Linked DNA regions of Notamacropus eugenii. The protein of the gene in region 3 interacts with the protein of the main gene of each other region in a pairwise test. Links are inferred from orthologs where the notes say so. Each region holds a gene or a part of one and is shown on either strand. Other genes may lie near its edges.

Region 1 (10,683 bases), on a different chromosome or scaffold from region 3:
CTAAATAAATGTTAGCTATTAAAAACTGCAGAGAGGTAGACTAAGGACTAAGAAAAGGTCATTTATCAGTTGAGAGGTCATTGTTAACTTTAGAGAGCACATTTTCTGTAGAGTGGGGGGGGGTTGGAAATAAAGATTGACAGGGGATGAGAAGGCAGTAAGGAAAAAGAAACAGAAAATATAAAGCAGTGGTACCAAACTGAAATAGAAATAGGTCCACTAAATTGTACATAAAGATCCTTGTTGCTGCATATTTACTCCCCTTGGGAAGCTCATGGACTAGATAAGGAGAAACGACTAATACAATATAAGACAGTAAAAGCTATTTACAATTACAAGGTGTTATTATCATTACCTATGACCATAGAGCAAGATTGCCTCCAGCATTTGGCTTGCGTATGTGGAAGCATATTAAAAACTTCCTTTGCAGTTTCTTTAGAAATATTTCTGTAGTCTAAAAACCCTTTTCCAGATGTGTCTCTTTAGGTAGTTTAACTTCAGAATAAAAGTTTTTTTTTTTTAAATTGTATTATCTTATATGAATTTATAATCTGTCCCTCTCACTGAGTGTCCCCCTTCCCCTTTTATGGGACAACAACCTCTCCCCAAACAAAACCTTCATCATATACGTTTAGTTCAGTGAAACAAATTCCCCAAGGGGCCATGCACCAAAATATATATCTCTTTCTATATTTTAAGTTCATCATCTCTCTGGGAGAAAAGGTCTTCAGTCTTCTGGACTCATAGTTTATCATGACATTAGTCAAGAGTTCTAATATCTCTCAAAGTTCTTTTCATCTATAATGTTAACATTGTATAAATTGTTCTAGTCCTCATTTCACTCTGCTCTGGTTCACAGAGGTCTTCCCAGTTTGCTCTGTAACTGTCCATTTTTGTCATTTCTTATGGTATGCGCCATCATTTGTTAAGACATTCCTTAATAGGAAGATACCCCTTTAGTTTCCAATTTTGACTTTTTATGAAGAGTTGTTATATTTTTATGCTTATGTGTCCTTTTTTTCTTTCTTTGAGCTCTTTGATTTAGTAGAGTTGAACACTAAGCAGAGTAGATTTAGTAACAGCAGAGCTGAGGCAAGGGTATTCTAAAGTAAATCATGTCATCCATAAAAATTGATAATTGTTTCTTCTATTTTGTTTATTTCTTTAATTTTTCTTGTTTTATTGCTATACTTAGTATTTCTAACACTATTTTAAATAGTGGCAGTAATAATGAACATCTTTGCTTTAACTCTGACCTTCTTTCAAGACTTCTAACTTTTTTGAATTATATCTGATGTTTATTCTTGGATTTAAATAGATACTATTTACTCTAGTAAGGAAAAGTCCATTTATCCCTATGCTTTAAAAAAACTTAGAAACGGGCTTTGGATTTTAATAATTTTTTAATAGAAATGGATGTTGGATTTTGTCAAAAGCCACAAATCTTCAGGAAATTGAGTAGAAAATGAAACTTACTTTTTTCCTTAAGATCCTTGTCTCCCCCCAACCTCTGAGGTGATTGTACTTTGGCCCATCTAAGGGCAGTTCTTCTTCATGATTATAACATTCGTCCACAAGAGAAGGCCCCTTTGATTTCTTCAGAACACTTGAGAATAGTGGTCAAAAAAGGAATGGGATAGTGACTACTGTTCTGGAATGTCAACTTCAAACTTTATTTTAACATATTATTATATTTTCCTTGTTAAAGAGTTCTGTAAAAGTTACCTCGAATTATCTAGGGGTATGGAGAGGTCAAGGGCATGAGGAGACTGCTAATTTGGATGTTTCTTTGCTCATCTAGAAATAGCTTAGATTTAGAATAATTTTAAATTGCCTAAAATGCATAGTTCAGTACTAGTATTTTTTCTTCAGCACTCAACTCCTGAAACATCCCTTTACCCTGTGGGAGATGACTTGAGAATGAGGAGACTGGGCTCAGTATTATGGAAAGAATTCTGGACCTGGGAGTAAGGGGACCTGGGTTTTATCTTGGCTTTGCCATTGACTTGCACTATGACCTTGAATAAATCAGTTTCACCCTCTAATTCTCAGTTTTCTCCTCTGTAAATATTACTGAAGAAGTCAGTCCTCGTGTTACATAAAGGCACTTCTAGCTAAGGGTTCTGTGAGCAAAGCTGTACTGCCACGAACTTATTAGAGTCAATATATTCTGAGTCTCACACTCTACCCCTCCAACTTCATCTTTTGCTCCCATCCCCTCCCTGAGCAAAGTTTCAGAGCTAGAAAGGTCTTTAGTGACCCCTCATTCCTCCCCCTTTTGGCACAGTGTCTTGCACAAAGTAGGTATTTCAATATTTGTTGAAGGCACTGAAGATGTTTAGCCTGGAGGAGAGAAGGCTTAGGTGAAGCATGATAGTTATCTTCAAGGGTTTGAAAGAATCTGACACAGAAGAAGGAAGTTGTGACCTCAAAAGACTTATGTTTGATGTGAAGCACCCCCTGTTAGAGGTAGCCAGAAGAGGAATAGCCTATCTCAGGAGGTGGAAAGCTCTCCATAATGGGCAGTTTTCAGGTAAAGGCTGAATGCAGTCCTTCACGGTCTCCATCATCCAGGTCTCATTATAGGCCTGCTCTCTTCTACTCTTTTCCCCTCAGTGATCTTATCAGCTGGTTTGGGTTTAATGCTTGTTTCTGCACTGAGGATTCCCAGGTCTATAAATCCAGACCCTTTCCCTTTCCTGAGCTGCTGTCCAGCACCACCAATTGCCTGAGACATTTCCAACAAGACCGCTAAGCATCTCCAACTCAATTTATTCAAAACAGAGGGCAGTTGGTGGTACAGTGCAGAAGTCAGGAGGACCTTAGTTCAAATTTCACCTCAGACATTTTACACTCACCAGCTATGTGACCTTGGGCAAGTCCCTTAACCCCAACTGCTTCATTCTGAGTCATCTCCAGTTAGTCTGATGAATATCTGGTCACTGGATTCAGATGACTCTGGAGGAGAAGTGAGGCTGGTGACCTGCACAGCCCTCCCTCACTCAAAACAAAGTCAAGTGCAAGTGATGTCATTATTTCTCTGATGGCACGGTGTTCTTCGGCAACAAAGGATGAACACACACACACACACACACACACACACACACACACACACACATACACCTAATCCAAAACAGAATTCCTCTTTCCCACCATATTCTCCCCTCTTCCAAACTTCCCTGAGATTATTAAGGGCCTTACTATCCTCCGAGTCATTCAGGTTTAAAACCTCAGCATCACCTTCAAGTCCTCGCTTCCACTCATTCTATATATATACAGGCAAATTATCAAATCTTATCTTCTTGATCTCTGTAGGTAGGGGAAGCTCTATCTTTCTATATAGAGGTGGCATAGTGGATAGAATATTGTTCTTAGAGTCAGAAAGACCTGAGCTCAAAACTGAGGCAGTCCTGTTAAGTAACCTGTCCAGGGTCACCCAGCAAGCATCTGAGGCCAGTTTTGAACTTAGCGTAGTGACTGACACGGTAGATATTTCATAAATACTTATTCCCTTCTCTCTTATAGCATTGATAAGCCATCCCCTTCACTCCATTCATACAACCAATCCTCCCCTTCTACTTCCTCAGTTAGAAGGGGGGTGACCTAGGGGTCTATAGATAACAGAATTTTGATTGAGTGATAGAGACGAACATGATAAACCTCAAAGGAAGAGAGGTTACTGAGTGATGGAGGGTGAATGGCATCTGGGAGCAAGGAGGATTCCAGCCCCCACATCAGCCAGAACTAGAGAGAGTAGTCGTGGAGTCCATGTCATCTGAGGGGAGCCAGATTTTGGCAAATGATGGTAGATGGAAAGAAAAGGAAAGGAAAAGATTTAAGATGAAGGGAAGTTTGTTTGTGAAATAGGTATTCCAGAGGACACTATGTTAGAGCTGGGTGACGTTTGGTTGAAACTTTGAGGTAGGAGAGTTGCAGGCAATGGGAATGAGGAATTGGGGTGGGGTAGAGGGAATAGGGTTTGGATGATGAGTTGAAGGAATTTAGAATCACTGAGATGTGAAGGGTATGACCAAATGTAAGAATGTTCATCACTGAGTGGAAGGTGCCACTCCTCTTCCCAACAGACTGGAGTCAAATGCAGTATGAGATGGAAGGTAGATGGTTGATGGGAGGTAGAGCTGAGAGCCCCTTCTCCACTACTCCTCTTCTCTCCAAAGGCTGGAGATTACGCAAAAAAAGGGCATAGCTGGAGATGAAAGTCTAACCTACACAGCAAGAAAAAGAAGTCCCATTCCCCATCCCCTTTCCACACCCTTCTCTGTGACTTTGCACTGACTTGTCTCCCATGCTGTCCCTCTCCACTTGGGCTTCTTAGAATCCCTGGCTGAAGATTTAGAGAAAACATGAAGTTTTCTCTTTTTTATGTAGCTCTTTGTGCGTCTGCAGATTACAATGTGAACTCCGTGAGGGCAGGGATTGTCTTTTGCATCTCTTTGTATCTCCAGAGCTTAGCACAAAGCCTGGTACATAGTAGGGGCTTTAAAAACCTCTAATTTCTTGATCTACAAAAGTTGAAGAAATTCTTATACGTCCACAGGTTCAGCGTGGGCTAGGCAGACTTTGGGGTCACTTTAAGAACAGTTTTTGTTGTCTGAGCTGCCTCCTTTAAAATCAACAGATTTAGATCCCCTAAAACCAAAAGATGCAAGTGAATTCACATCATATTTGCTTGTAATAATCTTATTTAAAAAATCTGCTCATTTAAAGATGCAAGTGAATCCACACACTTGTTTGTAATAATAACTTCATAATTTTTTTAAAAACCCTGTTAATTTAAAGATCCAAGTGAATTCACATCATATTTGTAATAATAATTTTCTAATTTAAAAACCTTTATTTAAAGACCCAAGTGAACTCACATAAATGAAAGAGTGTTGCTGAGATGTGGGGGGGGCATACTCCATCAATAAGAATTCCCCACTTTTCTCCGCCTTTTCCTTTCTCATTAACTTAATTAACAACCATTTCCCCCCCTCCCGCCCGCCCTGGTCCCTCGTGAACCCCCTGAACGCCCTCAAAATGTCTTTCTATTCCCTCTCGCGATCTCCTGTGACCCAGGTCTGGACTGGAAGGGTTTCGTGGACATCGCCCTGGGAGCACGTGGCTCAAGTGCGTGGGCAGAATTTAAAAGGCTAGCTTCTCGTCCAGATCCCACGGTTGTGCGGCTAGGGAAACTGAGGCACGGGGCGGGGCTCCCAGAGAGTGGAGGAAGGGCTCGGCTTCAGCGCTCCGCCGGGGGGTGGGGGAGATGCGGCTCACCTAACGGTCCCACGAGGGGCCCCGCCCCTGCCCTTGCCCCGCCCCCTGCCCCTCCCCCGCAGGGTGCGCCAGTCTCCGGCCTCGCTCCCTCCCCCGGGCCGCGCGCCCCCTCGGTCGCTCCCCCCAGCCCCGCTCGGCCTCACACCCAGGCCCCTCCCCCACCCAAGGGTCACCCCACCCCCACCCCCCCGCGGCGGCGCGCGCCCCGCACTCCCTCCCCCGGCAGCCCCCCCTCGGAGGGCGCGCGCACCCCGCGCTCCCATGCGCCGCTGCTGCCCGGCTCTATTTGTAAACACTCCGAGCGCCGCCGCCTCCGCCGCCGCCGCCGTCGTCTCCGCCGCCGCCCGCCCGCTGCCTCCGCCGTTGCCGCAGCAGCTTGCAACCAAGATGGCGGCCGGTGGGAGCGGCGGCGGCCTGTCGTCCTGCCCGCCGGGGGTGGGGAACGGCTGCAGCAACAGCAACGGCGGCGGCGGCGGCGGGCCCGGGCCGGGCCTGAGCTACAATAACTGCGCCGTGGCGGCGGCCGCGGCCTCGGCCCCCGGAAACCCGGCGGCCGCCTCCGCCGCCGCGGCCTCCTCCGCCTCCGCCGGGCCCGGGGCCGCCTCCGCCCAGGCCGCGGGGAGCGGCGGCGGCGGCGGGGCCGGCTCGGCTGTGGCGGCGGCCCCCGGCCCGGGCCCGGCCCCCGCGGCGGCCCCGCCCGGGGCAGTGGGGGCGGCGGGGCTGGTGCTGCACCGCGAGCCCGTCTACAACTGGCAGGCCACCAAGCCCACGGTGAAGGAGCGCTTCGCCTTCCTCTTCAATAACGAGGTGCTCAGCGACGTGCACTTCCTGGTGGGCAAGGGCATGAGCTCGCAGCGCATCCCCGCGCACAGGTGAGACCCCCGGGCGGGAGGGCGCCCCGGGCGGGGGGCCGATGGGCCCCGAGGACGGGCATGGGCCCCTCCTGAATCTCCCCCCAGGATGGGCACGGGCCCCTCCCGAACCTCACTCCTCCAGGATGGGCATGGGCCCCTCCCGAACCTCCCCCCAGGATGGGCACGGGCCCCTCCCGAACCTCACTCCTCCAGGATGGGCACGGGCCCCTCCCGAGCCTCCCCCCCAGTATGGGCACGGACCCCTCCCGAGCCTCCCCCCAGGATGGGCACGGGCCCCTCCCGAACCTCACTCCTCCAGGATGGGCATGGGCCCCTCTCGAACCTCCCCCCAGGATGGGCACGGACCCCTCCCGAGCCTCCCCCCAGGATGGGCACGGACCCCTCCCGAGCCTCCCCCCAAGATGGGCACGGACCCCTCCCGAACCTCCCCCCAAGATGGGCACGGGCCCCTCCCGAGCCTCCCCCCAAGATGGGCACGGCCCCCCCAACCTTCCCCCAAGATGGGCACGGGCCCCTCCCGAGCCTCCCCCCAGGATGGGCACGGGCCCCTCCCGAGCCTCCCCCCAAGATGGGCACGGCCCCCCCAACCTTCCCCCCCAGTATGGGCACGGCCACCCCTAGCCTTCCCTCCTCCAGGATGGGCATGGGCTCCTCCCGAATCTCCCCTCCAAGGATGGGCACGGCCCCTTCTGAACCCCTCCCCCAATGTGGGTAGGCCCCCTTCTGAATCCCTTTTCCCATTGTACCCCAATCCCTCTGAGAAGAAAGCCGGGCAGCCCCGGGAGTGCCGGCAGCGCTCCCCCAGATTGGCTGAGGATGGGGATAGCCTCCATCCAAACCCTCCACCCCCATTCGGGGAGGATGAGGATAACCCCCATCCAACACTCGCCCTCCCCCCATTTTTCCCCCAGCCTCTTTGAAAAGAAAGATCTGGGCAGCCCTGGACAGCCAAAGAGGGTACCCGCAGACTGGGGGAGGGTGGGGATGGCTTCCATCTTTCCCCCCACTTGTGCCTTCAGCCCCTTTGAAAAAAAATGGGCTGGGCGGCCTTGGAGAATCAAGGAGGACTTCCTTAGACAGGAGGTGTATTGAGATGATCCCCATCTGAAACTCCTCGCTCTATTCTATCCTTCCACCCCAGTCCCAGCTCCCCTGACAGAAAAAAAGGTAGGCAGCTCCTCAGAGCAGCACCACCCCAAGATAAGAGAATGGTGATGGCCACTCATCGGAAACCCCCCAGCTCCTATGAAAGGAGAAAGCTAGAGTCCCCAGAGAGCCACAGAGGTATGGCCAGTTAGGACGGTAACGAAGAAGTCCTCTTATCAGAACACCTCCCCCACCCACCCCCAGAGCTTCCCCACCCTAACCACCCTGCAGGGAAAAAGCCAGGCAGTCCTCCAAGAGCAACCAAGGGAGCTTCCAGGATGAGGGCAATGATGATGTCTGTTCGTTAGGAGCTCCCAGCTACTGTACTCTTTCCCCTCCCCCCCCAAACCCAATGTTCCCCTGCAGGGAAAAAGCTGGGCAGGGCAGTCCTGAGAGAGCCACAGAGGGAGCCTCCAGTGATGAGCATGATGATGATGATGGCCCCTCCTCTGAAACTCCCCCACTGTGGTACCCCTCACCACAACCCTGCAGGGAAAAAGGGGCAGTCCTCAGACAGCTCCAGAGGCAGCCCCCCTCCCTGGCACTATTCCTAGCCCTCCTGTTGCCCTTTCCTCTCTTCAGGCTCACAAACCAGGCCCCTCCCCGATGATTGCCCTTTGCCACTTTCTGCAGATAAACCTCTCTGTGGTCCTTGATCATAGATCTCTTTCTTCCCTTTAGATCAAACCCTCTATACTCCCCTTCCCCAGGTACCTCTGGTTCCCTTTTACAGATCTGTTATTCTCAGTTGCTCCTGAACTCCCTTCCTCTGATTTCCATTTTCCCTGATTTCTTAACGCCCCCCTCCAACCTAGCCCTTTCTTAGAATATACCTTCCTATTTTAAGGGTGTCAGCTTCTAAATCCTCCCCTTTCCCATTGTCCTCCCTTGCCCTGTTCTTCACGTGTGGGTCCCTTTCCCCCCCCACTGACTTCAGAGCAGGTCTGTCATGCCCTCCTAGGGGGAAAGTTGTGTCTTTGTCTCTGAGGCTCCCAGTTTACCCACAGGGTTCCTACCTTCTCTTTTCTTATTGCCCCCTTGTAGAATTGGGATGCTTTCTGTTAGTCCTGGTTTCTCCCTTAACACCCACCCCCCGCCTCCCAGTTATTTCTCCTCTCTGGACTTCAGTTTTTCTGTTTGTAAACTGATTGCGTTAGACCAAATGCTCTCTAAAGGGCCCTGTGATTTGATTTTACCTTGAACCCTTAATTCCTAAACAACCTCTCAAAAAGAACAAAGGAAACAGTGGGCAAATTCTAGCTTCCCTCCTTTAACTCCCTTCTCTTCCCTTACCCACTAATGTTTCCACATCAGTTTCCTCTCTTCCAACTACATCTACCCTTTAGGTAGGTAGATAGTAAATATCTCTTGGTTATTTGGTTATTGTATAGGATAGTAGATATTTAAGACAGCTTCCCTGTCATTCCTACCGTCTTGTAATTACAGTCCTTACTGTACACACCTGCATTTAAAACGTCTTGAAGGCAGAGACTATACCATACTACTTTTGTATGGTGTCAAGCATGAATACTCAGTTGAACTGCAAACACTTTACCTTTTCTGGAAGGCGTTTCTTGGCCATCTGCCCCCTAGCAATGGGTCCCCCCTCTGAAATTTATGCTATTCATTTGAGACTCACAATTTATTCCTTTGTGTAATTATTTTCATATAAGACAGTCTCTTACCCCAATCAGATTGTATAAGGTCAGTGGCCCATGAAAATGGCAACTAGCACAGTCTCTTGTGTAATAACTTGGATTAGGGCAGGAAGGAAAAAGACATTGTAAAATTACTGACTTTGTTCTAGGCACTGTACTAAGGACTTTACAGATAATATCTCATTGGATCTGAATTTGGAGTCAGAAGACTCAAGCTTAAATTAGTACTTGGTACTTAATAGCTGTGTGACTTTGGGCAAATCATTTGATTACTGAAATGAGGAGAAGGGTGACGTAATTAAACAAACACCTTCTATTTACTAAGCTTGGGATGGATAGGGAAGACTTTTAGAGGTGAGACATTTTTAGTTCAATAGATTTCATAAATTCATAAATGTTTGGCACCTTGGAGAATATACAAAGAAATTTGTGGCATCCCTGGCCCCTGCCCCTCAGGGTTTACATGTAACCAGTGAGGCCTGAAGGGGAAGAAGTCAGAAATATTATGGCTTAGTAGGGAAAAAAGAAGGCATTAAGCAGTAGAAAATGAACCTTGTGTGTACAGGTCCCTTTCAGCTTAAATCCTGTGATCAATTAATATTGCCTGATTGGTATATTTGCAATTTAATAGTCTTTAGTTCTCCCCTCAGAAGATTGCTGTGCCCTCCCTGACCAACCATGCACAGCTAGAACTTTCTGTTGTGCTTTCAACTCAAGTACTCCTTTTCCCCTTTACCTGTGTACCTTTCTGTAGCCTTCTTGCCTTCTGCCAAATGGTTTTTATCTCCTTGGGGATCATTGTACAGGTATGTTTGTATGTTGGACTTTAAGCCAGATTCTTTCTTGTCATTCCTGATAAGCAATATTTTATTATTTCTTGAAATTATGCACCTTCTTTTGGGCCTCAGATACCTTTCTGTTTGTGTGTTAATAGACAAAGGACTTTCAGGAGTGAGGCCTCATGCACAGCTTAATGGGAAGAGATCTGGATTTAGAGACAGAAGGAGAACAAGCCAGCTCCTTGATCCTCATGAGGCAGGTGTGGCCTCCAGAGACCCCAGTCCCCAAATTGGTACTTTTTCTGCTACATGATGCTGCCTCTTCTTCCCCAGGACTCTAGAGGTGTGGTTATCTTGAACTGAGATTTCTACAACTTCATCCATAGATCCAGTATAGAGTAGCAGATGGGCCTTTGAAATGGAATTTTTATCCATTAACCTGGTTATTTTTTCAAGAAAGGGGTTGATGGTGTCAATGAAGTTGAGAAGGCAAATTGTAACTGTTAATGATAATGGAGGCCAATTAAACCCTCCTGTGTTTGAAACCAAGGCTTCCTCAAGGGGGAATCTTACAGGATGGAAGCCTGGAGAAGCTTCACATCGATTACTTTCTGAGTTGGAGGGGATAGGGTGAGGTGTTCAGAGTGGAATGTGAAGTTGCCAGCAATGTACCAGGAGTACAGTATAGCTATTCAAAGTGCAGGAGATCTGTGTTAATAACTGCCAAAAAGCAAAGTATGATAACTATAGGTTGTGGATGCACAGGGCCAAGAACTGCTGTCTAGGCAGTGATTTTAGTACTGCCTTCTGGCTCTGTTCATTCTTTATTGTTTCATTCACCAAAGAAATAATGAATACTATTTCAGCTGCATTTAGAGGCATCTTGGAATAGCAGAAAGAATGTTAGTACTGTGAGTCAGCAAACCTGGATTCTGATCTTGACTG
Region 2 (10,199 bases), about 250 Mb from region 3:
ACCTGAACCACCAGAAACAGAGATTTCATTGCCAACACTGACTCAGGATTTCTACTGGGAGTGGTTCTTCTCAGAACAGCTTGATGCCTAACACAAACTAGAAAAGGTAAGCAAAGCAACATATTCAACCAATACCAATAAATAAGAAGTTAACCAACTATTTTCAATTTCAGGTTACACACCACATAGATACAACTACCTAGGACCAACAAATCCATTAGATTAAGCAGCTAAACAACTTATCAAACAATACAAACTTCTAAATGAACAAGGAGTCAACCCTTACATCTACAATCCAGCAGATGACAAATTCACTGAAGCAAAAGAAAGAGCTGTGGACTTAAGACGGCTGGATAGGAAACAGTGTTCAAAGCAAAAAGAGCAGTTTCCAACAGCACCAACACCTAACAAGGTAAAAAGACAAACTTTACTAACTGAACACTCTAAAATTAAAAAAAAACCTAACCAATCAGGTGGTAAAGACAGCCACCATGACATATATTTGTTAACTGAGCAAGAAAACTTTAAGCAACAGCTAGTTTCACAGCAATAACAGAACCAATAAAGCAACATTAACGCAGTAAGTGAAGATGCAGTTACTACATGACTTGGAGGAAATGGAGGGGAGAGGGTTAAGGGAAGTGGGGAAATAGGTGTAAGTACTGGGGACTTTTTAACACAACAGAACAGAAACATGAGGAAGACTGTTATCATTACACGTCATGCTGGCAGGCAGATTCACTTAAACGTACGATAGTGAGTCGTACCACTACCAATGCAACAACATTCACCTCACCTAGATCAATACAAAATGACAGCAAGCATGCACAAATCCTAACACCATGAGCGCTGACCAATGCTAACGGATGGAGAGGATGGCTAAATTCAGCAGATTTTCAACACCTAACAACACTTTAAACTTATTAGAACTAGAACAAGAAATATCTAAATTAGCAATTACAACTGTGACTGAAACGAAACTAAAAGGCCAAAAGCAAAGCAATGTAATAATGATCTAAGTGCAGCACTACAAGTAGCAAAAGACACAAACAACAAATCCATGGGGATCAGACAACATGACACTAGAAACACCAGGATACTTACCATGGGAAACCAACCAACTAAAGCAACTTCACAGTTTTAACCAAGGTACAGGAACAACTAACCCAACATCAAGATTAGATGTAGACAGAGCAGAAGCACCATTTCTAACTATAGAAAACACAACACCCACTGAAATGATAACAGGAGATCACTTTCCTACTGCAAAGTACTACTTTAAACCAACTAGACTAACAAAAATTTGGCAATTAGTTAGGAGAGTACACAAATAAAACCTAAATACACAGAAGGACAGAGTAGAAATGCAACAAAAATTGGGATAGACAGTGGGAGGCACAACAGAAAACTACTGCAGCAAAGCTTATGGGCAGAGAGAATTTACATTTGGCTTTAAATTTCCAGAATATTCTTTTGTGACAAGCAGAAGTGGTCCAGCTATATCACTCAACACCAGAGGGAACAGAAAATGCCTCTGAATCAGCTGATTCAAATTATCAGCAAATAATAACTATGAGTCATAACCATAGATCAAAAACAGATCTTGCTAGATACATAATAAATCATCCTTTGATGAAAAACCCAGGAGAACGGTACAAGATAGAGTAAATGACACATCACCAGCAACAGAAGAAACACTACTATGTACTAGTAAATACATACATTAGTAAATACATACACACATGGACACGGATATACGACCCAGGACCCATATATCCAAATGCAAGTATATGGGATAAGCAACCATAAATCACATACAAACCAACACTAAGAACCGCACCATACTTATGTGAAAACAATTCACCAGGGCAAATATTCATAAAACTGACACCAAACTGGACAGATAAATAGAACAGTAGAACAGTAACATGCTAAGTCAGTAATGAAACAGAGACTAAGAACACCAAAATATTGGAACTCACACCCATTTTGTCAACCAAAAGCTGACACTACAAACTTCTGGAAATATTTCCCAGGGAAAATTGGAAAATTCTTTATACCTGTTATGAATGGAAGAAAAGTGCCAAAAATAATGTAGTAAAATGTGAGGTGACTTCTAATCAGTTAATACTGTGTATTAAAATAAAAATACTTACGGGAAATGACAGTTAAAATGTTAAAACAAAATAGTCTCTCTATTTTCTACTGAAAACCAATACTATGAAAATGCTTTGAATTAAGGGAGTGGGGGTGGGGAATTCCAATGCATTCTCCCTCTTCTTCTCACTCATTAACCAATTCAGTTTCCTTGGGACTAAATAATCTTTATCACTTCAAGCTCTTAAAAAAAGTATGATTCTATAAAATTTTACATTGCACCTAAACAGAGAAATTTTACCCCCAAAAGTCAATGAAAAATTACACTGATTCTGAAACTTGGGATAGCACAAATTAAATGTTAATGTAATGTATTAAATGCTTACAACATTAGTCAAATTTACTCATTTTAAAGGTTTTATACTCCTAATAACTAAAAATTAAAGTTATTTCAAGCAAATTGCAGCTATTTAAGTTATAGATCTTGAAAACCTTATTGAAGAAAGATGCCCAACTTTTTCAATTCAACAAGTATTTATTCACCAACAAAGGCTAGCTAACTTATCATCTCAAACTAACAGTGATAAGAGAGTGTATCATTTTATTCTCCTGAAATTCAAAATAAGTCATACTTTTCAGAATAAATCCCAATCCTCCTAAGGGCAAAGGTTCAAATGCCAGTTTTTTTAATTGTTACCTGTAACCTGGCCACTTTACCTCCCTGGGGCCTCAGGTACTTCACCAGTAAAATGAGGGTACTGTGCTAAAATATGTATAAGATTTACTCTGATTCCAAATGCTTTGACCGCATAATTTTATAACAAACTATTAACTTGTAAATTTCAATGAAAAAAATGAAACTGCATCATATTTATTTTTTTGCCTAAAACATCTTGAAAGTCACTTTCCAAAGCACTGGAAACTGAAATAACGTTCCCCACCCTCATTTACTTCCATTTAATGGTGCACAAATTATGGGGAACACGATAGATGTAATGCAATTTATTTAGAGAGTAATCAGGAAAGGATTTTCTGGCAATAAACAGAGTGGGGGCTCCACTTCCCCCAGTAAGCTTCCGTATCCTATCTAAATGCCAAAATACCCGGATCAGGAGTCTGACAGAAATCAATACTACCGTTCATTCATACTTAGAGTCACTGTTACATAACTCGCTTGGCATACTTGTTTGTATGTACTCTCCCACGTTAGACAGTAAGCTCCTTGAAGGCAGGGGCTATCTACTGCCTCTTTTGGGGCTGGCACAGTCATAAATGTTAGATAATGTTTAATAACTTAGACTCTGATTAATCAGAAATCGTCCTCGAGGATGCTCCAAAATGACAAGACAACAGGAGATGACGGCGTCACCTTGGGAGCAGTTTCGCGGCTGCCCGTGTACAAAACAGTCTGACCTTGACGGCAGGGGGCCCGCCCCAACAGGCACAGGCCCGCACAGGTGCCACCCGGCGTCGGTTGGCACATTCGCTCGCCAGCTCGGTACAGCGAACGTGGCTCGCTCACAACGGGAAAGGAGGGTCAGAGGTCTTCTGGGAAGGTACCAGGGGATATCCCTGCCCGCCCCGTGCCAGCCCGCCCCGCGCCAGCCCCGGCCCCGGGCAAGGCCGCCCACGGCCGGCGGGCCCCGGGGGCCCACTCACCTCAGCAGCGCCAGGAAGGCGGCGGGCTCCACGTCGGGCAGCTCGATCTCGGCCGAGGTGGTGGCCATGCCGCCGTTGAACATCGCGTCGAAGACGGCGCTGCCGGCGGCCAGCACGAAGCGGTGGGCGGGGATGCGCTGCGGGCCCCCGGCGGCGGCGGCCCCCGCGCCCCCGCGCCCCTTGCCCAGCACGAAGCGCACGTCGCTCAGCAGCTCCGTGTTGAAGAGGAAAGCGAAGCGCTCCTTGAGCGACGCCTTGGTGGCCTGCCAGTTGTACAGCGGCTCCCGCTGCAGGGGCACCGGCACCGCCGGGCCCTGAGGCGACAGCGGCGGCGGCGGGGGGGGCGGCGGGGGCGGCGGCGGCGCCAGAGGCGGCTGCGAGGAGGCCCCGGCGCCCTTCTCGGCCTCCGGGCCCAGGAGCGAGTCCCCCGGAGCTGGGACCCCGATTCCGGCCATGCCCTAACCGCCGCTAAACCCTCCGGACTGCGCTCCGCGCGACGGCTCAGCAGGCGGTCCGGGCCCCGGCTGCCATGTCCCGCTCCGGCCCGGTCGGGCCCAGTCCCGGGCCCAGGCCGCTGCTGCGAGGAGCCTGCCTCTCGCAGCCGGTTCCGTTGCGTTTGCTTCCGAACCTTCCGGGAGAGCGCTACTTCCGGCCGCTACCCACGGGAGGGGGGAGGGGCGCCCACGCACGCGCCCCCGAGGCCGACCGGAGGAGGGGCGGGGGAGGGGCAAGGAGCCGGGCGGCGCGCGCCCCTAAGGCACCGCTAGGGGATGCCCGCGGGCGCCCCCAAGCTGCCCAGGAGCCGCGGCTGCGCAGAAGCCTCGAACTGCGGCGCGCTGGTCCCTGCACGTCGCCCCGCCCCCTGGCGGAAGGCGCCCCTCCCACCGAAGGTATCCCCTGCCCAAGCCCGCTTGGGAGGCCGGGTGGAAAAGCGAGCGCCAGTGGGCACCCCGGCCTCAACAGATCCGGACCGTGCTGCGTCGGCCACGCTGGTGACGCAGGAGGAATGGGCCCTGGGGGTGTCCGGCCCCGACCCGGCCTCATCCCCCCAGAGAGCGGCCCCCATTCCCACGGGCCGCGCCGCCCCTGCCTGCCGCCCGAGCCTGGTTCCGAGGATCAAAGCTGGAGCGGCCGAGCCCCCCATCTGTGCTCACCTCCCTGAGGCGTGAGGCTCGGCCGAGCTGAGGATGCGAGCGCTTTGTCAGCCTTGCAAAGCCGCGTGCGCGGTCCGTTCTTTATTAGGAGGGCTGACCACTAGCCGACTTCAAGCCATCCCCGGGTGACCGGGGATTATCCCCGCAGGGAGTCCTCTCATGCTAAGAAGAAGATGAATCTGTAACGGGGGCCTTTTAGAGCTCTCTGCGAACATTCTGAGTCAGAAACTGCCCCCCCCCCCCACGCTCGGCTGTGTGACCTTGAGCAAGTCACTCAACCTCCTCGAGACTCCTAGGCAACGGAATGATCATATTTACGCACCTTCACACCGGATTGTTCCTTTGATCTGCTGAAACCATTCCCTCCTCATCAACGATCTTTCCTGACTGCATCCCCTAGCCTTTTCTTATCAGTTCTCAGTGTCCTTAACCATCCTCACTGTTAGAAGTTCAAAGCCTTCTTGCCATAACTCATTACTTTTCAGCAAACTCTGCCCGTCCCCCAAAATCCTGTTCCTGTGTCCTGGGTGCTTGGAATCCCTCTTTCCCCAGTCATCTTTTCCTGTCCTTTAAAGCACCTTCTCCCTGAAACCTCCACCACTCCATGTAGCATTTGTACGTACTGTGATAGTGTATTATAAATGCCGTGATATGTAGGTTATCTTCCTATTTGCTGTATGTTCCAAGAAGACTGAGAATCTGTCTTCTGCAGTTCTTAGAACCAACGTCAGCATACAGTAGGTATAAATCTGTTGAACTGAATTAACTTCCCTTTGGTTAATGCTCTTTTCCTTTGATTTCCAAGACATTGCTACCTCCTGGTCTCCTTCCTTTTCGCTCCTTTGTTGGTTGACTTTTTTCCCTCTTCCAGGATATGGGTGTCCCCCAATGATCAGTTTTGACAACTTTCTTGTCTATATATATTCTTCTTCATAAACTCACCCTTGTTCAGAGGGTGACTTACAACTACCTCTATACAGATGACTTTTGAGATATATATGTGTGTATGCATACATGTTATACATCATACATATTATACATACATGTATATGTATATATTATAAATCAGGCTAATATCTGGAAATAGATATAGATCTACTGAAAAAGGAGAAGGGAACTTACCAAATGTGTGTGTGTATAAAGATATCTATGGTCTATATAGATATCTACATATAAACACATGTATGTATGTGCATGTGTATATAGATATCTAGGGTATATATATACATATATTTACATTATGAAAATGGAGAATGGAGCTTACAGAATACACACACACATATATACATATACTCTGGCCTCTAAAAAGTAACAAGCACCAAATTAAAACTCATCAGCATTCCCCCCAAAATCCGTTCCCTCCCTCGATTTGCCTATTTCTGTTGATAGTACTTTTCCTCTCCCCACTCCTCACATCCAATCAATTGCCAAACGTAATCCAAAATGTATGAATTATATTTCAAAAATATCCATTCACATAATCACTATTCTAATTCAGGCCCTCATTACTTCTTATAAGAATGACTATAATAGCCTCCAAATTGGTCTTTCTCTCCTTCTGCTCCCTCCTAGTTTCAATCCAATCTTCACAAAGCTGCCAAAATAATATTCTTAATGCAGAAATCTGACCATGGCACTCATATTCTCAAACAAAAAAAAACAAAAAAAAACCTTCAGTAGCTTCTCATTGCCAGTATAAAATGTAAATCATTTAGCCTATCATCTGAGACCCTCCATAATCTGTCTCTAACCTACCTTTCTAGCTTTGTTTCACATTATTCCTTTTCACAAACTCTGTGTTCTAGTCAACTAGTCCACAAGCCTCTCCCCAAGGTGCTGATTGGCCAAGTAGAAAGAAACACATGGATGTTCATACCACTGAGCTGGGAGTAACCAACTACAATCCTTGTAGGAAGATGAAAAGACCACCATCTACCCTGCCACTTTGTCCTAAAGTTCACTGAACCTTACAATCTGTCCTGCTTTTGAGTACCCTCAAAAGCCCTACACACTGTCATCTTACCAGCTGGAGCAATCTTAGGACTTTTGCCTCCTCCCTGAATCTGTGATTCTTGCATCCATTGTCTCCTCTGCTTAGAACATGAACTCCTTGAGGAAAAAAAAAACTGCCTTTTTTTTTCATATTTACATCCCCAGCACTTAGTACAAGACTTAGAAAGCAATAAATTCTTATTTTTTTCATTTATTCACTCATTCATTCATTTCATCATCCTGAACTTTCTCAATTCCACGCAGTCCTCCAAGCCTGGAAGGTAATCCTTTTATGTGGCTTTGCCCAGTTTAAACCTGGAACCTTATCTTACCTTTCCAGTCTTCTACTTTACTCCCCTTCACACACTCTTCCATCCAGCAACACTGGCCATCTTGATGTTCCTTTAGACTTTTTCACTGGCTGATCCCCATGCCTAGAATAGTTTCTTTCCTCATCTCTACCTCCTGGCTTTCCAGGCTTCTTTCAAGTCTCAGCTCAAATTCCACTTTCTACAGGAAGCCTTTCACCTCCTCATGTTCCATACCATCCCTCCCCCCACCTCCAAACTCTTGGTGTCTTCCCTCAGAGATGAACTTCTATTTACACACTCTCTCTCTCTCTCTCTACATATATATATCTATATATAGCTATTTTCATATTGTTTCTTCCCCGCCCCCCCCATTAGAATGTGAACTCCTTGAGAGCAAGGACTGGATTTTTGTCTTTTTTTGAATTCCCAGCTCTTATCATGGTGCCTGGCACATAGTGAATGTTTCATAAATGCCTGTTGGCTAATGAACTTCTCCATGAAATTTCCTGATTCCCCCTAGCAGAAAACGACCTCTCCCCTCCTTCAAATTTCTCTTATTTTTTGTCTAGATCAGTGGAGTCAAACTCAAATAGAAATGAGGGGAGGGGAACCCTGATCTGTTCAGAAAGATTCCTGTGGGCTGCCTATTGTCTTTCATTTTAAGTAATATTATCTATGTTTTATTTTACCTTTATTTATTTAGTTAAATGTTTCCCAATTATATTTTAATCCATTACTATGTGTTTGACTCCTCTGGTCTAGACTTCTTCTTCCCTCTCTTTCCTCCCTCCTTATGTTCTACTTTGAATTATGGTTATTTTACTACAGGCATTATCCATGCTAAGAATATTAGTTCATTGACAGTAAGGACCATGTTGCTTTTCAGATTTCTGTCCAGCTCCTAATAGTGCCTTGCACATAGTATATGCTAAATTGTTTGTTGAATTGAATCTTTTATTTCGTCCTGATGTATTCTACTTATTCAGACTTTCACCCCTCTGTGACTTTTTGTCCCGTAAGATTCTTCATGCATGTTTTCCAATAAATCTTGCAGATTTTCCCATCACACTGGGGCTTCTCTATTTACTCTTACTATCTTGGGATGTCAGTGTATATTTCTGGCTGTCCATTTGATGTAAGCTTGCCTATCCCTGCAAACAACAGTTCACAAAGTTTGATGTAAGTGTGAGCCATTATTATCACCCAGGCTTCTCAAATAACATCAAGTCAATCTGTCCTATGAGTAAGATCTGGCCTTCATGAGGAAGCACGTTAAGAGGCAGAAAATAAAACTTGTATGTTCAGTCATGCAAGTAAATAGTTTGTTCCAATTTAGATTCAAAATGCTTGTGGTAGAATTGTCTGTTTAAAAAACCCAAGCCACTCTCAGAAAACCAGTCTATCCATGTGCTTCCCTTTGCCTTGATTTCTATATTTCTTTGACTTTCCTGGCACTTCAACTCTCCCGGTTCTACTTCTCTAGCAACTTCTCTGTCTCCTTTGCTAAACTCCCACATTTCAATAAACACCTACTGTAGGTACTGGAGATGAAGAGACAAAAAGGAAACAATCCCTTAGTATCTCATCGTGAACAAAATTCTTGAGAAACAGCCTAGAGAAAAAGCCCTGAAATTGGAGTCAGGAGACCATAGTTTTGCTCTGAGCTATGCTAGCAATTAGCCATGGAATTTTGGACAAATCACTTCTCTCAGTTTCCTTACCTGTGAAACAGGGGTTGGACTAGATTCATGAATTTTTTTCCTCTAAATATTTAGATATTTCAATACTATTAGTTTCCTTTGTAACCTTAGGTACTTTATTTCATGTATTGAAAAACATAATTTTGAGAAAGGGTCTTTAAGCTTCACCAGACTGCCAAAGAGGTCTATGACACAAACAATTTTAAGAAGCCCTAGACTATGTGAATAATTATTTAAATTCTAATAAGAATCTAAAATAAAAATGCTAATAATAATCAATACTAAAGTAATTTTATAGCCAAAACAACATTGACATTATTCTTTAAGATTTACAAAGCACTGTAGATCTAAGTGCTAATCTAAGTAATCTAATCTTTAGATCTAAGTGCTAGTGTCCTTTGAGCAAACACTGAACCAGAAAACCACATGCTTAGCTGAAAAATGTGGCTCCTTTTGCCCCCTTGTGAATTTTTGCATCATGTGTTGCAGCAAAAGAAACCTGTCATTATCCCAGATGTAATTTATTTGTCATACATTCTTCGTTGGCATGTCATGCTATTTGGAAACCAGCCTGTAGAAACAATATATGTCACCCTGTGTACTAGTTTTATAATTAGAACAGATGTGAGGTCAAATCAGAACAGGATATTTAAGCAAAGAAAATTTAGAGAAAAGTCAGGAAATTTCAAATGATGGAGAGAAACAAGTGGGCAGAGAGGTGTTTGGGGTAATCTTTTGACATGACAAGGAGGAGATCTTGAATGAAAATTTAAAAGACATTTTTCAACTCTTAGGACTTGCATATTTCAGAGAGTGCAGAGAGGTTCAGCTGCTATTAGATAGCCCTCTATGTGAAAGGATGAATAATTGTAGTTAAAAATAGAAACTAAGGTCATGAAGCTAAAGAAAAGAAGGAACTACATGCTCACAGGCCTAGAGCAGACTGAGAAGCAAGTAAAAGATTATCCTTCCTTCCTAAAGGGGCTAATTGTGTATTTTCTCTTCATTTTTTTAAATTTCATTTTGAGTTCTGAGTTGTCTCCCTCCATTCTTCCTAGTCTAGAGGTAAAGAAGACCAGCATTTTTATATGCACATATGTATATATATATATATATATATACATATGTATGTATGTATGTGTATGTATATGAGTGTGTGTGTGTGTGTGTATGTGTATGGACCCATATACTATGTACTTCCATATATCAGTTCTTTCTCTGAAGGTGGATGGTATTTTCCTTCCTAAGACTGTCACAGTTGATTTGAATGTTCATATTACTCAGAA
Region 3 (10,661 bases):
CAGCGAATCTAAATATCAGTGATCAGCTGGAGGGTGGGGGTGGAGTAGTGTGACACTTCTAGGTCCCCTGGTGGTCAGCAACTATTCAGCTCAACATGTCCATCACACCCATTTTGACAAAAAGAATACAATGGTCAATATGTAGACGCTTCCCCAGCTTTTAGGAAGTCTAGGTAGGTAGGAGAGAGTACCGGAAAGACGTTCTAATACCTTAAGCACCTGAAGTCTTATTTTACAGTAAACTTCATAAAAGAACAATAGTGCTTTCCATAACTAACAGATTCTTTTCTAAGCAAAAATAGGCCAGAGAATAAAATATGTGAGTTCCAAAATCAACATGAACCATAACAACAAACCTAAAATACAAGCAGTTTATGATGGGATGGAATCTATTTTTATACCTGATAAGGTGAAGAGGGGAAAGGAAGGGGGTAATCCAAGTTATATGTATAAACTTGCACTGCCTAATTTGTAAATAGGGCTAAGTCCACTTCTAATAAAGATCAACTTAAACAAACTTGTTTAATTCAAAGACCAGGATTAAAACAATTACGTTCATGTAATTGGACTTTGATGTTTCCCTTAGGAAAAAAAACAATGTAGTGTAGAACTCTCACAGGTGGTCAGATAACTCTCCTAGCTACCTAGGTAACACAGAAGCAGGTTGCTAACGCTACTGTCCTTCCTTTGGACTATGCTGGCAAAGAGAACATATCCTAAATTGAAGGCTTGGAATTCGGGTGAATTTGGGAACCAAAACCAAAAAGGATCCTCTACTAGAGAAGAAGCAGACATGAGGAAACACACAAAAATGTGACGTCACCAAGTCTTCCCCTGCACCCTTTTCTAAACCTCTTCAAGTATTCTTATCACTCTTGACAGAGCAACTAAATGTATATGTCGTCTTCATGAACAAAATCTGTTTACAGTGAGATAGAGCCTGGCCTTTGCAATCATAGTAGCAAAGACTATGCAGACTTGAATTAGAAATTGCTAGGAGTACAATCACCATATGCAGCCCACAATTTACCTCAGAAAAACAGACCATTTCCCAAGTGCAGTCTAGGTATAATCTTTGGAGCTACTTAAATATTGGTGGGAGAAGGAGCCTTAAACTATTCTGAAAACTTTGTTCTAAATACCAGATACATGCTTACTCCCCTAACTTCTTAGCCCTAAGGACTTTTCTCTACACTAGAAGAACCTTAAGGATTCCAAAAGAGGAGAAAGATGAGAATTTCCATAAGTCCTGTTCCCATCCAGATTTCTCTATTATCACACCCCAATTAAAAATTAAAAAAGGGACAACTTAAAATTTTGCTTTTGGTTATTGTTTTCTGTGAAGCTAGTCTCCCTTTTCAGACTGCTCTTCCCTTTAGCCCTTAAAGGTCTGGCTTAAATGGACAGTAAGGAAATTCTTAGTTCTCTTATAATTCTCTCCCAGTAGGGAACAGTCTTCTACTCAATGCCCCATTTCACTGCTGCATAAGACTGTTTCAAACTAAGCAGGCCAACATGATGGACTACTTAGTGCAAGATCCAAAAACTCAGCAGTAGTCTTTTACCACTGAAGTGGCTAAACCCTGGCTAAACTGAGCAGGATTTTATACTTATTGAAGACAGGTATAGTGCCAAGGCTAATCAATGGAAACTGACAAAACGCTATATAGTGCACATCTTTCACCATTTGACTTTCCTCTTTATAAAGCATGCAAAAATGAACCATTTTTTTATTGGAAAGGGAAAATTCCCTCGTACATGGAACTGGTAGAACGAATACACTAATGCATTAACTTTTTAGAAAAGGGTTAGAAAGCAACTAACGTAAAGAGAAAGCAAGATAGCCCTCAGCTCCTGAAAGTCTGTGGTTCTTATTTAGTCCCAAAGAAAAAGAAATGGATAAACAGGCCTACAAATGCTTAAGGCTGAGGCAAAAGTATTTGCCACATCTGCCAACAGACAACCAAAATCCTCTTTCTCTCTCCCACAATTCTAGACAGGTCCTGGAGCACCTCTCATCATTTTGAGGCTGGACTTTAAAATACTTTTCAAAGCAAGTCTTTCTAGGTGCCTTAATCCACAAAGACAAGCTCTACCCACACGTGCTAATTGTCTGTAAGTAGTTACTAGAATAAAACAATTTCTAAGCTTGCTTATCCCAATTCCCAGGGCAAGCAACTTACAAACTTTTTGGAAGGGGGCTATATTATTAGAACACGTTTTCTTCTCCCTCTTTGTTCAGAGCTCTCAAAAAATGATGCTCCACAGATGATGTATTTAGTTTTAGATTTATGATCACATCTCTATGCAAGGTAAAAAGGTAATATAGATCTTATAGAAAAGACAAAGCAACAGTTGCAAAACTGACCTTTCATTTTAGAGGGTGGAATAGAAAGAAACCAGATGCAGAAGGAGAATGAACAAAAATAATCTAAGCTTCTTAAAAAAAGAAAGGAAGAAAAAAAATCAAACTCTCCCCCCTCTGTCTCCTTTCTGGTAAGGACAGTGATTTATAGGGCTTTTCTCTGCAGAAAGCTCCTCCTGGGCAGCTCTAGGAAGGAGCCGAGGGAGGGAGAGAAAGAGACACAGACACAGAAAGAAGAGGAGAGAGAAAAAGAAAATGGCGCAGAGACTAAGTCCTGACTGTCGACAAGGCGACTTTCCAGGGGGGAATCCGGGCCCGGAAAGGCTCCCAGGCGCCGGCTCGGCGGGGATCGGGGGCCTGGGCGGCCCCCTCTAGGGCGGGCCGGGGTCCCCGGGGGGCCAGAGCCCCGCAAAGGGGCGGTAGGGGCGGCTCGATGGGAACAATGGGGCCGGTGAGCGAGGAGCCGGGACTTAGTCTCTGGGACGCCATGTCTGTCCTTTCCCATCCGCAGCCGGGGAGAGCCGGGCGGCGCGGGCGGGCCTCTCCCCACCCCCCGGGGCAGGGGGCCCGGCTCGGGCCCGGGGCGCACACTCACCATTCACTCGGAAATCCGCATCGATCTGTGGGGAGGGAAAGGAGAGGAAATCAAGCCACCAATAAATAAGACACACGGGGTCGGGGGGGGGGGGGTAGAGGGACGAGACTCTGGCGGGGGAGGGGAGCACAAGGGGCTTGGACCCCCCCCCCCAGGGGGGAGCGGAAAGCCGGGCAGGGTGGGGAGGGGGCTCGCCCTTTCAAACTTTAACTTCCCGGCATTTCCAGCCCGCCGCCTCCAGGGCGCCCCCCCTCCTGCTCCTGCCAGCGCGGATCCCCCAAAGCCAGAACCCCCTCCCCCCTAACACACACTCCTCAGACCCTCCACATCCCGGGGTGGAGGGGGGGGAACCTGTCATCTCCTCGGCTGCCAAACGTCAAAGATGGAAGGGGAGGACAAGCGGAGAGACAGAGTCCGGGGGAGGCAGGCCCGGCTCTGGGGGAAGGGGGAAGTGGGAAGCCGGCTCTAAGAGGAGCCGGGCCCGGGGGCGCCAGGAAGTCGGGCCCCGGGGCGGGGGCGGAGGAGCCGGGGCAGCAGGGCCTGGGGATTCGGGGCATCGGAGTGCAGCCGGGCCTGGGGATCGGGGAGATCCGAAGGCCGGCTTACCTGGGAGTCGTTGTGCAGTTGATCCCCGCTCATGTCGGACGTAGCCGCGGCACCGGCGGGAGTGGGAAGGGGGCGGGGGAGAGGAGGCACAGACCGCTCGGACCCCGGCCTTGGGCAAAGAGATCAGGCCCCGGAGCAAAGGCGACGGCGGCGGCAGCGGCGGGAGTGTGAGGCCGAGGAATCAGCGACAGCAGCGGGAATGGCGGCGTCGGCGTCGGCGGCAGCGGCGGCAGCAGCGGCAGCAGACACTGGGGAGGGAATGAAGCTCCGAGGAGTTGTGTAACAGACTAAGTTCGCATTTCTTCCCACTGCGCCTGCGCGGCCGCTTTTAAACAGGACCCGGCGAGAGGGAGGGGGGGAGGTGGTGAAACAGGAAGGGAGGGGGGAGCGCGGTAGGAGGGAGGAAGAAGAAGAAAACCAGCAGCCTTTAGGGAAACTGGCTTGGCTCTAAGAGAACCCGCCTCTCGCTACTCAAGTGGCTGGCTCTGATTTGCATCTCAAGCCACGCCCCACGTTGAGACAGCCCCAACCACCCCACCCAGCGCGGAGCTTCATTTGCATAAGGAACTCCTCCTTCTCCCGCTCACCCAGTGTCCTGGCTCGTCTCCTTCTCCAGCCCTCCTCCCCCACCTCCCCAACCCTGTTCTCGGAACTGGAGCCCGCCGGCAGTATAGGGCTAGGAATTGAAGGGGTTCCTCACGGCGTTCGCAACCCCCGGCTCCGCGCACTGCGCAGGCGCCTCTGGCCACTCTGGGGCCTCTGGAGTTGCTGGGCGCCGGCAACGTGGTTGGGTTTTAAAGACGGGCAGCCTTAAGCAACCGTAGGCACCAGTGGTGGAGCTTTTGAGCCGGCCTGAATTTTAAGCGTTAAATTTGCAGTTGACTCCTAACACCCACCCGATACCCGAGTCCGGGCAGTGATACCCTCCCTCGTTAAGCATCCTCTGCTGTAAAATGAGAGGTTTGGGCTCGGGCTCTCTAAAGCCCCTTCCACATCATCCTGTCATCCCCGGTACTCACTGCCTGGGCATCCCCGTGGGACTGGAAGGAAGCACAGTCCAGATCTCTTATTTTACAGATGAGAAAATCCAGGCTCGACCGCGGACTTGTCCAAGGTCACATAGCCCGCCGCTGGTCAAAGCTGGGACTCCAGGCGCAGGTCTCCCCTTCTGCACTGCCTAGCCCCTAAAAATGTTAGGAAGGCAGCTTCACGGCGTCAGTTTAGGCAGGAGCTCTCCAGCTTTCAGCTCCTGGGGTCCTCGGTACCCCATCAGTTCGTTGCTCATTGATTTGTTTCCCCTCTGTCTAGAAGAGTGGCAGGGGAAAGGGAGATGCCCACACGTGGCCTGGTGACCTTGGCCAACCTATACAGTAGTAATAGGATGCCCAGCCTTTGTAAGGACTTAACTGCTTAAACACACAGACGCCTCTTTTCAGTAGAAAAGTAATGGATGGTAGGTTCAGAACGAGGAATGGAGGAATGTGTGTAGTCGGGCGGCGTATGTATTTTGTTTCACTATGCTTTGTTACAGTGGAGGTTGTATTCCAAGTGTGGGGGGAGAGAGAAAAGGAGTATTGGGAAGCTATAGTAATGGGGGGAAAAATCAACGAAATTGCCCACTTTCTAGTAGAAATATCTCCAGGACTGGGAGGTAGGAAGGCAGAAGCCCTCTATGGCTGCTGAGTCATTTCAGCCGTGTCCGACTCCTTATGGCCCCAGCTGAGGTTTTCTTGGTAAAGATTTTATACATGAAGAACTGGGACAAACAGGGTTAAGTTACTTGTCCAGGATAACCCAGCTACTCATTGTCTGAGGCCAGATTGGAACTCAGGAAGATACTTCCCGACTCCAGGCCGGTATTCTATCCACTGTGCCATCTAGCTGCCCATTTTTAAATAGTATTAAAGTGTAAATCGTATTTAAGAGTACTGTTTGTTATATGGGATAGCTGTCTGGAAAGGGGGAGAGGGAGAGATACTGAAGGAAGCTACGGTAATGTAAAAGATAGACTGTCAACCGTTTTTTAAAAGCTATAATATGAAGTAGGGTGATAAATGTTCTGATGGTCACCAGATTCGTTTTTCAATTGATTATTGTCAAAATAAATGCTTTTTTGTTTGTGGTTTTTTTTGTTTTTTTACAAATGGCAAGAGCCTGTTTTAATTGGATTTCTTTCTATGTAAGTATTTTCCTATTTCAGTGAGTGTTCCACAGACCTGAAAGGGCAAAATGACAGTATTTGAACAAGAATTGGCAAATATCCAACCTTAACAAGGAAAAGCCAAATCTGAAAGCAGGCTGAGCTTTGACCATGGCAATATTGAGCCCAGGGGGCCACTGAAGAAGGAATGAATGAACTAAGGAATGAAAAAGCATTTGTTGAGTTTACTATGTGCTAAACTCTGGGGATACAAATTCGAAAGGAAAGACAACCCCTAACCTCATGGAGCTTACATTTCCAATAAGGGAAGACAACACATATAGGGGGCAAGTGGCTAGAAGAGAACTTTGACCCAGAAAGTTACAGGGATAGTGAGTAGGTCTGTAGAGAAATAGCCTGACATACTCCTTCCAGGAACAAAGGTAGAGTTGATTTGATCATGGTTGCAGAACTGGAGAGGAAAGTAAGTGGGGGAGATCATACTTATGAGGCATGACCTAGTAGCCAGTTACAGTGGGCTGGTGAAAGTAGTTGCCAGTAGGGACAAGAGTGCCCCAAGGCAGTAGATCTGTAATTGAAATTACATGGGGCATGACCTCAGGAGGCAAGGCTATTGGTGAGGCTAGTGAGCTGACCCAGGAATAGGAAAATGCTGAGTACAGAGGGTACCTTCCAGCCTATGTGCCTTTCCTCACATTATTTGATATCCCTGGACTGTCCTCTCGCACTATTGAACTCCTGTTCATCCTTTAAACACCAACTCAAATTCAACCTTCTCCGGGAAGGTTTTCCTGAGTCCCTGATCAGTAAATTACTATCTTTCTCAGACCTCATATAATACTTTATTTTTACCTCTCTAATATTCTCATTATGAATCATAGTTTATTACATGTATGAATTTGTATCTTAACCCCTTACCAGAATTCTAAACTATATGAAGGCAATTACCTTGTCTTCTCTGGATTTTGTCTCTCCTCTCCTTCCCCCACCCCAGCACCTAACTCAGTGTTCTACACAGAAGTGCTTAATAAATGTTTGCTGAAATGAATGAATGAATATGGATGGGGTCTCTTTTGCTAAATCTCTTCATGTATTACTATATCCACAGGGCAGAAAACTAATATTTTTTTACTTGCTTAGTAGATTAAGGAAGAATTGTAAATATGTATTTACAATTAAAATATTTCCACACTCAATCACATCTCATTTCCCCTCAGGGATAGCAGTGATGCTGGCTGGCAGCCTGGTGGAATGGAAAGTATATTGGAACAGGAGCCAGAAGAAAAGGGTTCTAGTACCAACCTTGCTAATTAGCTGTGTGACATAGGGCAAATCAGTTTACCTTTCTGAGACTTAGCTTCTTCATCTGTAAAATGGAATTAATAATCATAGACCTACCAAAGCCATGGATTTATTGTAGCAACATTCTGCTTCCTTATTGTAAGATTCCAACAAGAGCATGGTTGAAAATAGATTTTGTAACTGAAAAAGGCTGATGTTAGATTTTTTGTGAACTACAAACTCAAATTCTCCTCTTCTTTAGAGCCCTGCATAAGAGGGTTTTTTTTGTCTTTGGTTTTTTCCTCTCCCAGTAGTAATATTGTAAGTTTCTACTTGTTACATTTTATATCATATTTGAGAGATTATAATGACTATTTTTTCTGGCTTCAAACTCCCTTCTTTGATTCACAAAATATTAGACTTGGAAGTTTCCTTATGTATCTCCTAGTCCATTTTCCCCTCTTTTTACAGATGAAAAAACTGAGGCTTACAAAGGGGAAGCAACTCATGTTTGTGTGCACTTCACAGCTATAGAGAGCCAGAGCCACGTCTTTTGACTTCCAATTCAGTGCACTTTGCACTATATTGTCTTTTCTTTTTAATAATTTATTTATTTTTAGTTTTCAACATTCACTTCCATAAGATTTTAGGTTTTAAATTTTCTCCCCTTCCCTCTTCTCCCCCCTCCTCAAGATGGCGGGCTATCTGAAATAGGCTCTACTTATACATTAATATTAAACATATTTTCACTTTAGTCATGATGTAAAGAAAAATTAGAACTAATGGAAGGAACCAGGAGAAAGAAGAAACAAAATAAAACGACAAAAGAAAAGGAGAGCAAATAGCATGCTTCCATCTGTGTTCAGACTCCAAAATTCTTTTCTGGATGTGGATAGCATTTTCCATTGCGAGGCTTTTGGAATTGTCTTAGCTCCTTGTTTTGCTGAGAAGAGCTAATATACTATCATTTCCACCTTATTCTTATCTCAGGTTCTGTGCTATACCCTTCCTTTGGTATCCCATTTTCCACTACAATGCTATTAATACCAACGCACATTTCTATATCAATTCAAGGTTTTCCTTCTGACATACGCTGACTGGATGATGCTAGACAAGGCTATAGGTTACAGATAGGGAGCCTGCATTTCCAATACAGAAACTCTCTATTCGAATGAAACCCTAGGTCCAATTAGTAGTCCTGGCCCTTCAAGGTTTACAAAACGCTTTCCTCACAACCACTTTTTGTTATTAGGTTGTACTTCAATGTATTTGTAATCATACTGCGTAATCACCAAACTCCTTTGCTCAAAAATCTCAAATGGCTCTCTGGTGTTTCAAAACATATGAATACAAATTTTTCTGTTGTTAAGCATTTAATGCGCTTTATAATATGACTCCTGCTTACCTTTCCAGGCTTATTGTACATTATTCCCTTTCATACAATTAATGGGTCAGCCAAACCGATTTCCTCCTTCGTGACATTATATCTCCCATTTTCCATCTTGCATTGACCGTCACCATGTCTGGTATATATTCCTTCCTCATTGATGCCTCTTAGAATCCCTAGCTTCTGTCAAAGCTCAGCTAAGCACCAGCTCTGTAGAGGAGGTCTTCCCTGACCCCTTCAGCTGTTAGTGCATTTCCATCCAGCTCCAGCTCCCGCTCCTCAAATTACCTTGTATTAACTTTGAGCTTTGAATTTCTTTATAGGGCTGCATATTATTTGTCCTGATAGAATGTAAACTCCTTGAGAACAGAGACTGTCTTATGTTTTGCCTTTGTATCCTTAGCACCTAATACCTGGTACATAATTTATATATAATATAAATATATTTATATTATAAGTAAATATATATTTATATTACATATAAATATATTTATTAAAATATATAATATAAATTATACATATGTAAATAATATAATTTATATATAATAAATGCTTATTAAAATGAACTCCCTCTAAAATGATATGGCTTGAAGCCCTGCTACATATTCTCACCTCCTGTGACTCTTGTCCAAATCCTCCCTTAAACCTTCTATAGGGGACCTACCCAACCTGAGAGAGGTCTTCTTCTAGCTATTTTATTTTTAATTTTTTAAAATTCTAGAAAATTTAAGCACTCTCTAAAATGGATCATTTCCATATACATAGCAGAACACTGACCAGTGCTGGATTTGAGCTGTCCCTCTGTCATCTCTCATTACATGATCCGCTGACTTTTCCAGTCATTCAAGTAGTATAGTTTTAATACCTGTTATGATAATTAGCTCATTTAGAGCTGAGAGAGCTATAATTGGTCCATTCATTTCTCCTGACTTCAGAGAGGTTTTTTAAGATAAAAAGTTCTGAGCTCAGTCACAATACCTTGGTGCTCCCCAATTAGGAAAGATTGCTAAAATCTAGGCAGAAGTTGAGTTCTCTGCTAAACCTAAAAAATATACTAAACTTATAAGTATCTCTAGGTAATAGATGGCTTCTTTGTAGTTGAAGCAAAATTCAGATTATTGGAGGTATTTGGGTAAAGAGATGGTAGATTGAATTATAGTGTGGGGGGATAGACCAGCACTGGGAAGGAAAGTTGCACAAAGAGAAAAACTTTTCTTGGGCCTTCCATCAGCTTGGCTTCTCTTTTCTGCTTCTCTTCTGCTTAATATCTCTCTTATCTGCCAGAACACAGAACCCCTTTTCCTCTAAGCCTGCTCCAACCTCTTAAATCTCAACCCTCAGAAAATCTTCTTTCCTAATTCTAAGATAGCTTAAGACAGTCTGTCACATACTGGCTTCCATTCAAAAGGGAGAACACGACTTCTTTGCATTCAATTGATTGTTGGATTCAATTTAAAAAAATGTTTGCTCCTAGTCAGGACATCTGAGCAACATGGGATGATTTCTACTCCACCTTTACGCAAGTATCATTATTACCATTTTAAAAGTGAGGAAACTGAGTCTCAAAGAAGTTAACTGGCTTGGTCAATAGCACATAGCTAGAAAATGACAAGATTAGAAGTAAAATGCAGTTGTTCTGTCCATTTTATTACTCAGTTCGATAACCATTTATTCTCTCTCCATTCACAAATCAGTCACCCTGGTTGATGGTGACCATCACCCTCTTGCTCAAAAATCTTCAATGTTTCTCTTTTTCCACCTTTCTCAGTCTGTCCTTTAGTGCCCTCTACAATCTGACTTCAGGTTACTTTTCCAGGCTTATTTCATGCTACTTCCCTTCATTCATTCTTATGTTGTAGCAAAACTGGCCAGCTTGCTATTTTTCCCAAACTGGACATTCCATTTCCTTCTCTGATGTTTCTGACCCAGATTGTCCACCATTTCATGTTCATATGGGCAATTGGGTGACACAGTGGATACGGTGCCACACCTGAACTCAGGAATACCCAAGTTCAAATCCAACCTCAGATATTTCCCAGCTTCATGACCCTGGACAAACCACTTAACCTCAATTTGCCTCAGTTTCCTCATCAGTAAAATGAAAATAATGATAGCACTTACCTTCCACGGTTGTTGTGAGGATCTTAATTGTAAAGTGTTTAGCATAATGCCTGCCACATAGTAAGTGCTATGCAATTGTTAGCTATTATTATGGTTATATCTGCCCTCCTAGAACATTGCCCTTCTTACAAGGCTTAATCCATGT

The links.
Region 1: the proteins of TOP1 (region 3) and BTBD2 interact in a two-hybrid assay, tested with the Homo sapiens proteins (2 studies listed by BioGRID). The link is inferred for Notamacropus eugenii from reciprocal best matches to the Homo sapiens genes TOP1 and BTBD2.
Region 2: the proteins of TOP1 (region 3) and BTBD1 interact in a two-hybrid assay, tested with the Homo sapiens proteins (2 studies listed by BioGRID). The link is inferred for Notamacropus eugenii from reciprocal best matches to the Homo sapiens genes TOP1 and BTBD1.

Annotation. Positions count from the first base shown.
Region 1 is NC_092875.1:64,659,387-64,670,069, forward strand, and holds the start of BTBD2 (BTB/POZ domain-containing protein 2), read left to right. Parts: upstream 1-5,478; 5' UTR 5,479-5,541; coding exon 5,542-6,152; intron 6,153-10,683.
Region 2 is NC_092872.1:177,035,707-177,045,905, reverse strand, and holds the start of BTBD1 (BTB/POZ domain-containing protein 1), read right to left. Parts: upstream 4,376-10,199; 5' UTR 4,212-4,375; coding exon 3,757-4,211; intron 1-3,756.
Region 3 is NC_092872.1:424,056,813-424,067,473, forward strand, and holds the start of TOP1 (DNA topoisomerase 1), read right to left. Parts: upstream 4,298-10,661; 5' UTR 3,600-4,297; coding exon 3,567-3,599; intron 2,986-3,566; coding exon 2,961-2,985; intron 1-2,960. UniProt on the Homo sapiens protein: Releases the supercoiling and torsional tension of DNA introduced during the DNA replication and transcription by transiently cleaving and rejoining one strand of the DNA duplex.